2 linked regions of the Macaca fascicularis genome follow. The protein of the gene in region 1 purifies or fractionates together with the protein of each later gene. This does not show direct contact. Links are inferred from orthologs where the notes say so. Each region holds a gene or a part of one and is shown in the gene's direction. Other genes may lie near its edges.

Evidence for each region.
Region 2: the proteins of ATP11C (region 1) and TMEM30A purify together in Homo sapiens (co-immunoprecipitation; 4 studies listed by BioGRID and IntAct, with this or other methods). This does not show direct contact. The link is inferred for Macaca fascicularis from reciprocal best matches to the Homo sapiens genes ATP11C and TMEM30A.

What each region holds. Positions count from the first base shown.
Region 1 is NC_088395.1:146,045,510-146,049,339, reverse strand, and holds part of ATP11C (phospholipid-transporting ATPase IG), read left to right. Parts: intron 1-112; coding exon 113-177; intron 178-501; coding exon 502-583; intron 584-1,552; coding exon 1,553-1,703; intron 1,704-2,324; coding exon 2,325-2,522; intron 2,523-3,830. UniProt on the Homo sapiens protein: Catalytic component of a P4-ATPase flippase complex which catalyzes the hydrolysis of ATP coupled to the transport of aminophospholipids, phosphatidylserines (PS) and phosphatidylethanolamines (PE), from the outer to the inner leaflet of the plasma membrane.
Region 2 is NC_088378.1:99,869,111-99,872,940, forward strand, and holds part of TMEM30A (cell cycle control protein 50A), read left to right. Parts: intron 1-2,090; coding exon 2,091-2,284; 3' UTR 2,285-3,830. UniProt on the Homo sapiens protein: Accessory component of a P4-ATPase flippase complex which catalyzes the hydrolysis of ATP coupled to the transport of aminophospholipids from the outer to the inner leaflet of various membranes and ensures the maintenance of asymmetric distribution of phospholipids.

The sequences.
Region 1 (3,830 bases):
ACAGATACATTCTGAACCCCTTGGAAATAGGTGTGTGTCAGGGCAAAATCTGTCCCCAGAGTTGTTGATGCTATTGGCTTGTTTGGATAAGCTGTGTTCATTTTTTATTTAGGTCTTTGGGACCTGAAAATCTCTTGCTGAAAGGAGCTACACTAAAAAATACCGAGAAGATATATGGTGAACAATTTTTAAGATATACTTATCAAAAAATATGCTTTGTAAAGGCTGTGAATAAATAGTGCATATTAAAAAGTAAACATGGCAGGTTTGCCATTTAATCTAAACCTATATTTAGATATTGGGAATTTATAAGGTGGTAAACTAAGAAGAAATATGACAAATACTCTATATAATTAAAATTATACTATAAATGATATACAACTGGTGAGTGGAAGAGGGCCTAGATTTCCTGCTTTTATAGGCTTAAAAATTCATAGAGCCAGCTGTGTGAGGAGTTGGTTGACAAGTTCTTAGTTTTCATTATATTCTGTAATTTCTTAGGAGTTGCTGTTTACACTGGAATGGAAACCAAAATGGCTTTGAACTACCAAGGGAAATCTCAGAAACGTTCTGCTGTTGAAAAGTTAGTATGAGTATGCGCCACAATTTATTTAGTCATTATTGATTAAAATAGTTACTTTTCTCGGTAATTCCAAGTAACAAGCATAACAAAAAACAACATCAATTATAATAGCAACTACTATTATAAGCACTTGTTTATGTACCAGAAACTGTGCTCAATGATTTGTATGTCTGATTTGGTTTAGTCCTCTGAAGAACACTGTGAAATAATTCATGTTAACCTCTCCACTTTACAGATGAGGAAATGGTCTTGGAGATGGTATGTGACTTACCTAAGCTCACATAGCTATTAAAGGGCAGAATTTACTTGAACTATAAATTCATTCCTTTTTGCTAGTGGAGTCAATAGTTTGGAGTCCTTTAGTTGCTATATGCAAGTTGGTTCTATAATATAGATAATAGTCTCCTGGCACCTATTGAAGCATTACCTGGTAGATCCTCAAGCCAGGTGCCACAGCCATAGACCTCACCCTATATTTGGCATGGATAACCAGTACATCACTGGCACCCTTTCCGTAGCTCCACTTTCAAACTGAAAGAACCTACACCGAACTTGAGGATTTCACATTGCTACCGTGCCCTCTACCCCAAACATTTAGGATTCAGGGAAATGGAGACAAGATACTCCTTCTATAAGGGTTGAGTAAGTAATGGTGTTTGTATGTGTGCATGTGTGTACGTCCCCTGTCACTTTACAGGAACCTTACTAAGGTGTGTTCCGCTAGTCAGCCATTGCACTTGGGAGAGCATTGGTGGTCAATAAACAGTTCATGGCCAGCTTTTCATTTTGCCACTTGAAAGTAATGCTCCAGCTATGATAACTGAGGTTCACACACAAAGGCTTGTGCTATAGTTATGCGTCGTACGCAGAAAAAGCTTTAGATGACTCAGTAGTTTAATTCATATCTGGCTGATGTCTTAAGTATTAATAATTAGGTGGTTTTAAAATCCATGCTGTCTTATTTTTCAGATCTATTAATGCTTTCCTGATTGTATATTTATTTATCTTACTGACCAAAGCTGCAGTATGCACTACTCTAAAGTACGTTTGGCAGAGTACCCCATACAATGATGAACCTTGGTATAACCAAAAGACTCAGAAAGAGCGAGAGACTTTGAAGGTAATTTGTTTTCTGCTGAAAATTGAAACTCTAGAACTTTGTGACTGAGCCAACTTTCACTGAAATGCTGCTCAGGGAAATTGCACCTTTTGTAAGCTTCTGAATTTTCTCTTGATTACATGGTGGCTCTAAGCCAATAAATATTTAAGAAGATTTAGAGTTTTTTTTTTTTCTTTTACTTTAGGCGTCTGTGCTTGTTTTTAGCTCTTTATATAAGAATTTAAGATGAAACAATTTGGCAAGATGCTTTGGCATTTTAATATAAGAGGAGTATGTGAGATGTCACAATAAAAGCATAATGAATGCTTACATACGAACTTTGATCTCACATTCATATCTTAGGGTGGAGTGAGCAAAGAGAACTTAAAGAAGTGAAAAAGTACTGACTGAAGTCGTATATACTGAAGAATAATGATAAAATTGAGGGTGTTCTTAAATATTATTCTCACATACTGTGATAATTTTGATTACAGTGATGTAGTGTTATTGGGAAGTTCCATCTTGATAGTAAGAGCAGTGTTTTCAGCATTGAAATAAAGATGAAATTAATTCTTCCTTTATATTATATTGGTCTGATGGAATTGTATGTCTAATTAGCATGAACTATCTCTTTTATTTTAGGTTTTAAAAATGTTCACCGACTTCCTATCATTTATGGTTCTATTCAACTTTATCATTCCTGTCTCCATGTACGTCACAGTAGAAATGCAGAAATTCTTAGGCTCCTTCTTCATCTCATGGGATAAGGACTTTTATGATGAAGAAATTAATGAAGGAGCCCTGGTTAACACATCAGACCTTAATGAAGAACTTGGTCAGGTTAGAGCATATTTTTTTTTTACTTAAAATAATTTGTCAACATACTGAAAATATCTTTTTATGTATTCTGGATTACCAATATATGTGATCATGTCACATTTGGAAAAATGATTCAGAGAAAATTCTTTAATGCAGGCATGTAATGAAGGTAAGCAGTGTTTTCATAGTTATAGCATCAGTTCTTTTGCTGGCCTTTTTGAGAAGGATGCAATTTATGTATTAAATTTGAATGTTACTGAAATTCTCCTTGGAACTGGGTGATGTTACCTTATTAGCTATTGCTTTGGAACAGGAAACAGACAGTCTTCATGACCATCTATAACCATTTGTGGATAGAATATGGGGTAGCAAATATGGCTCTTTTATAAATGTATTTTGTTCCATAAGCAAAATTGACCAGAGTTGTCCTATTGACATTTTCTTGGTACATTTCTGATCAGGTAGAAGATAGACCTAACAAGCAGAGTTATTTATTCCAGTACAAGAATTTCAATGAAGGGAAAATGTGAGGGCATGCACTCTTCAAAATGCGTTCTTCTTTATATACCAATGTAACCCAGACTGTGACCCCATTCTAACCCAGGTGCATTTATTTTCCAGTGCAACACAGTCTGGCTGTAATTCTTCAAGTGATGATTTCTCGGGTACTTTTCTTATTAGTATTGAGGAAGTTTTCCCCTTTTTTTGATTTTACTCTGTCATGTAATGATCTTTGCGAGCCGAAGGAATTTTTTGGCTTGCATTTTATTCTCATGACATTTAGAATGTCAAGACTGTGGAAATGTCATTTTTGTGACTGGGAGTTCCAAATTGAGTTAATGAAACTGTGTGGCTGGAACAGAGCCTCACAGTTGTTTAAATGGGGCTGATTTGCATTCTCACCTCAAAACTCTTTACTTCCTGACTTTAACCCTCTCCACAGTCCCTGCTTTGTGTTTCTGCTCTTGAGACAGCCTTTGCCTAAATCAAAGTACCCACATGACAACTGCAGTTGAAAGGTAGAAAGGACTCTCCAGATACTATTTTGTTTACATTTGACTTCAGGACACCAGTATCTGAAACCATGGAGTCTACATCCCATGTAGATACGAAGGCACTAAGAATAGGACAAAAATTGAATGGACAAATGGCTTTTCCTTTGGATATTGTTCCCACAAGGTTATTTTGTTGGTGATATGGGCTGCCATACCTGACCATTGTCTTTTAAGCCAGAAGTTTTCATCCAGGGTTAGAGCTATCTGAGTAGAACTGCTCTAATGTCAATAAAAGGCATCAAATTGCAGAATGCATGAGAAAAAATTTCGAGTA
Region 2 (3,830 bases), on another chromosome or scaffold:
ATGGATGTGTTAATTTGTATCAATGTAATTGTTCATAATTTTGATCTATTGGTAGTATCAAAACTCAAAACATTTTATTATTAGCTGTTTTGTTCCACATTAATAAGTTCACATTCAGTGCTGATAAATAACATTTATTCCACTCTATGTGTTAACACTGTGCTGAGTGTTTTCTGCTCATTATTTAATTCAGGCAGCAGCATATCTCCCTATTATAGACCAGAACACAGGAATATCGAGCACTTAAGTAACTTACCTGACTTTACACAGGTAATAACAATGAGTTGGGGTTCATAACCAGGCTGTTGACTCCAAAGGCCATAATTTTACTCTCAGCTACCAACATAGGCTACATCTCTGCTAGTTCACTCAGTTACACCAACCCATATCTGCATAGATGCAGTCTTTATTAGGAGGGAAATAGTAATTTCTTTTATTCTAACCAAAGTCTTTACATCTTTTAATCTGGAGCCTATATTTTACATACACTGTGAGTGAAGAGATCTCCCAATGCTAGAATCTTAAATGTTTGCTGATCTTTGCATTTTTTATTTTCATAATCCAAATGAGTCATAATCCAAGTGGGTTTTGGTTTTAAAATGGGTTAGTAAATGGTTAAATTAATAGACCCAATTTAAAAATATTTTTTTTTGGATTCTAGTCTCTTGCTATTGCACCTGAATACACAAGTAAATATGGCCTGCTATGGCAAGCTAAAAGTGACCAAGTTTTTGAAACTAAATCCACATTGGAGCAGTTTTGGACAGACAGACCCAGTTCAAGTGCTGATTTCTAGAACATTATCCTGAGGAGATAGTCAAACTAGAGAGCAGCTCTGTTAAAATTAGCATCCAGAAAATCTCTAGAGAGTAAGGGCACATTTAGCAACCTGTAGCCTAGGGCACAATGAAGGGAAGTCTGTGAAGCACTGAGGAATTCTTAGTTGATAGATAATTGCCACACAGGAATTCCGCAGCAGGGTCCCAACTTTGAAAGAACTATCTAAAGGAATGCATGATATATGGCAGATTGAGAAGACTTGATAAGACCGGAATTTGGACCTGCAAAACATCAAGGGTTAATTTTCAAAATTGGGCATACGGTGGGAACTGAAGACTTCTAGAATGAAGGCAGAAGCCTGTTTCTTTAGGGTTGGGATGCTAGAGAGAGACTAGCATGGGCAATTTGATACTGTATCCCACAGAATGTTGGGTTAGCTAGAGGTCTCAAAATCATTCCTGCCTTAGTTTAGGGTTGATTTAAGAAGTTAGCAGAACCGAACCTGCCATTGGGAGTTAGGGACCCATAGGGACCCATCTGTGGGGATGGAGAGTTGAAGAAACTAGAGAAACAGATAGGGCCTAACCCTAGATTCAAAAGATGCTTTTGAAAAAGTTGTAAACTTTTTGCATGGAGACTTGGTTCTGGCTTCTTCGCTACCTTACCTCTTGCAAAATTCTACAACTGGTCCATGTAGATAATTCATCTAGTATACTGGTGCCCTATTTCCTAAATCTCCTTAACAGCCCACCCTTCACTTCCACTGTTAGCTATCAGCTGTGTCACAGAGTGAGTTTTGCCATTGCTCTAAATCAGCAAGTTAAAACTTTGTTATGCTTTTTGACCTTTTGCTCAGAGCCTTTTCATAGTCTCATAACTACACTCTTGCTACATGTTCTTTGAGCTCACAGAGACTTCTAGTCCCTGATTTTTTCCATTTTCTCCTGGTCTGTCAGTCTCCTTGTGTGGACTTCATTGTTCACTTGAACTATTTTTTTCACATTGCATTCCTTTGAGGCCTTTTGCCCCTTCCATGTAATGAGACCAAAAGCACCTGAGAAACTGCGTAACCTTTACATTTTGTTTGTTTTGGTAAAATATTTTGGCTTTTACTACTGACATTTAATTTGCTAAATCAGTCTTTCAAGATAATATTTTGTGTGTGTGTGTGATTTAGAACATAGGAGTAAGGTACCTGTATATCCTAGAATTACACAAATGAATTACCAACAATTAAATGGCAACTTTTAAAATTATATTTTAAACATCAAGTAACCAGAGATGGAAAAATCTTCCTATACCCTCTTCAGATTACCCTGTACATTATTTTGATGGACGAAAACGGATGATCTTGAGTACTATTTCGTGGATGGGAGGAAAAAATCCATTTTTGGGGATTGCTTACATCGCTGTTGGATCCATCTCCTTCCTTCTGGGAGTTGTACTGCTAGTAATTAATCATAAATATAGAAACAGTAGTAATACAGCTGACATTACCATTTAATTTATATTATGAAAGCAAATCATCTGCATGTGCATCAAGGCCAGTCCTATTCAACCTAGCTTTCGAATGCTGATGTCTGGTTAGTATGTCATTTTGAAGTTGGCACATAACTTTTCTAAAAAAAAAAGCAGTCTTTGTTGTTTGCTTCTTCCCTATGGATGACTTCTGAAAATATATGACGGGTATAAAAAAATTAGCTATATTGATCATATCAACACTGTAATTGCTGAAATGGCATTCTAATGTTTGCTTTTTATTGGGACAGGCCACATGATGCATAGAGCCTCTTTCATGTGACTTGTGTCTACTGCTTAAATCTTTATGCTGTGTTGATATTATATTGACATATGATGCTATATATGTGTATGTATTTTGTGGAGAAAGGGATTACAAGATGTATGAGTATAACGACTTGCTAACCTTTCAGGATTCAGAGAAAGATGAAGAAAGACCATATCTAAATAATATACTTCATCGTTTTCATGTGTATAAATGCTTAAAATACCATCTTTGTTGAGGTGGTTCATGTATCCAGTTTATCCAGTACAGTTATTTGTCAAGCTTAGCTTTGATTTCAAAGGACATACTTACCTTATCTAGCATAAGAATTAATGCTCCTGTCTGCAGTGGTTGGGTAGGTCCTGCTTAGGAGAATTAAAAAATTCCTCTTTCCATTTGGTTAAATGTTGCAATCAGGAACCCCAACTCACTTGGAATGTTTTTATATGTAATCATTTCCCTTGAAGCTTATGCTTTGTAAGGGAAGAAAGAATTCAGGTGATAATGGGAAAACTGCTTGGCAGAGCTTCATCTTCTGCCTCAACTGTAAACCACATGTAAATGCTTAATGGAGACTGTTTTCATTCTTGTGATATTTAACATTCAGAAAATTACTTCAGCTTTGGAAATACCTCAGGCTGTTTTTATTTTGCAGGTAAGTGTTTTGACTTAAGTACTAATATTCCAGAAATTTTTGAAAGCAGTAACCTTAATTTCCTATGTATTTCATTCCACTTTTGCATATAGGTCAAATGGCAATGTGTATGCACATTCTCTTTAGTTAATGCACCAATTGTTTTGGTTGGTTTTCCTAAGACATACTTTAAAAAGATGTTCTGTAAATTTCCTAATTAAATTATGGGGATTTTGGAGTATGTACATGATAAATTATAATATGTATATGGTTGAAGTTATTTTATTTTTTACTAACTGGAATTATTTTAATATTCCTTATTGAATAAATGCTGTAACTTGTTTGCTATGGAACTTATTCTTAAAGTTCTAGTTAAAAATAATTTTTCCACATGCATGAAAATGTATGTATTAATCAGAGGTGGCTTGATTACATTGAAATTGCTTTATTATTGTTGTTGTTGTTGTTTTTTACTGAAATAACTCATGTTTGTGTAGAAGAATGCCTGTTTATTCAGAGTTTATATTTTCCTTCAGTTATATTTTAAATCAAAAGGCCTGGGTAATGTATACTTTTGATTAATATATACTTTTTTAAAAAAACAAAAAGCAATGTAATGGTTAATAGTAGAAA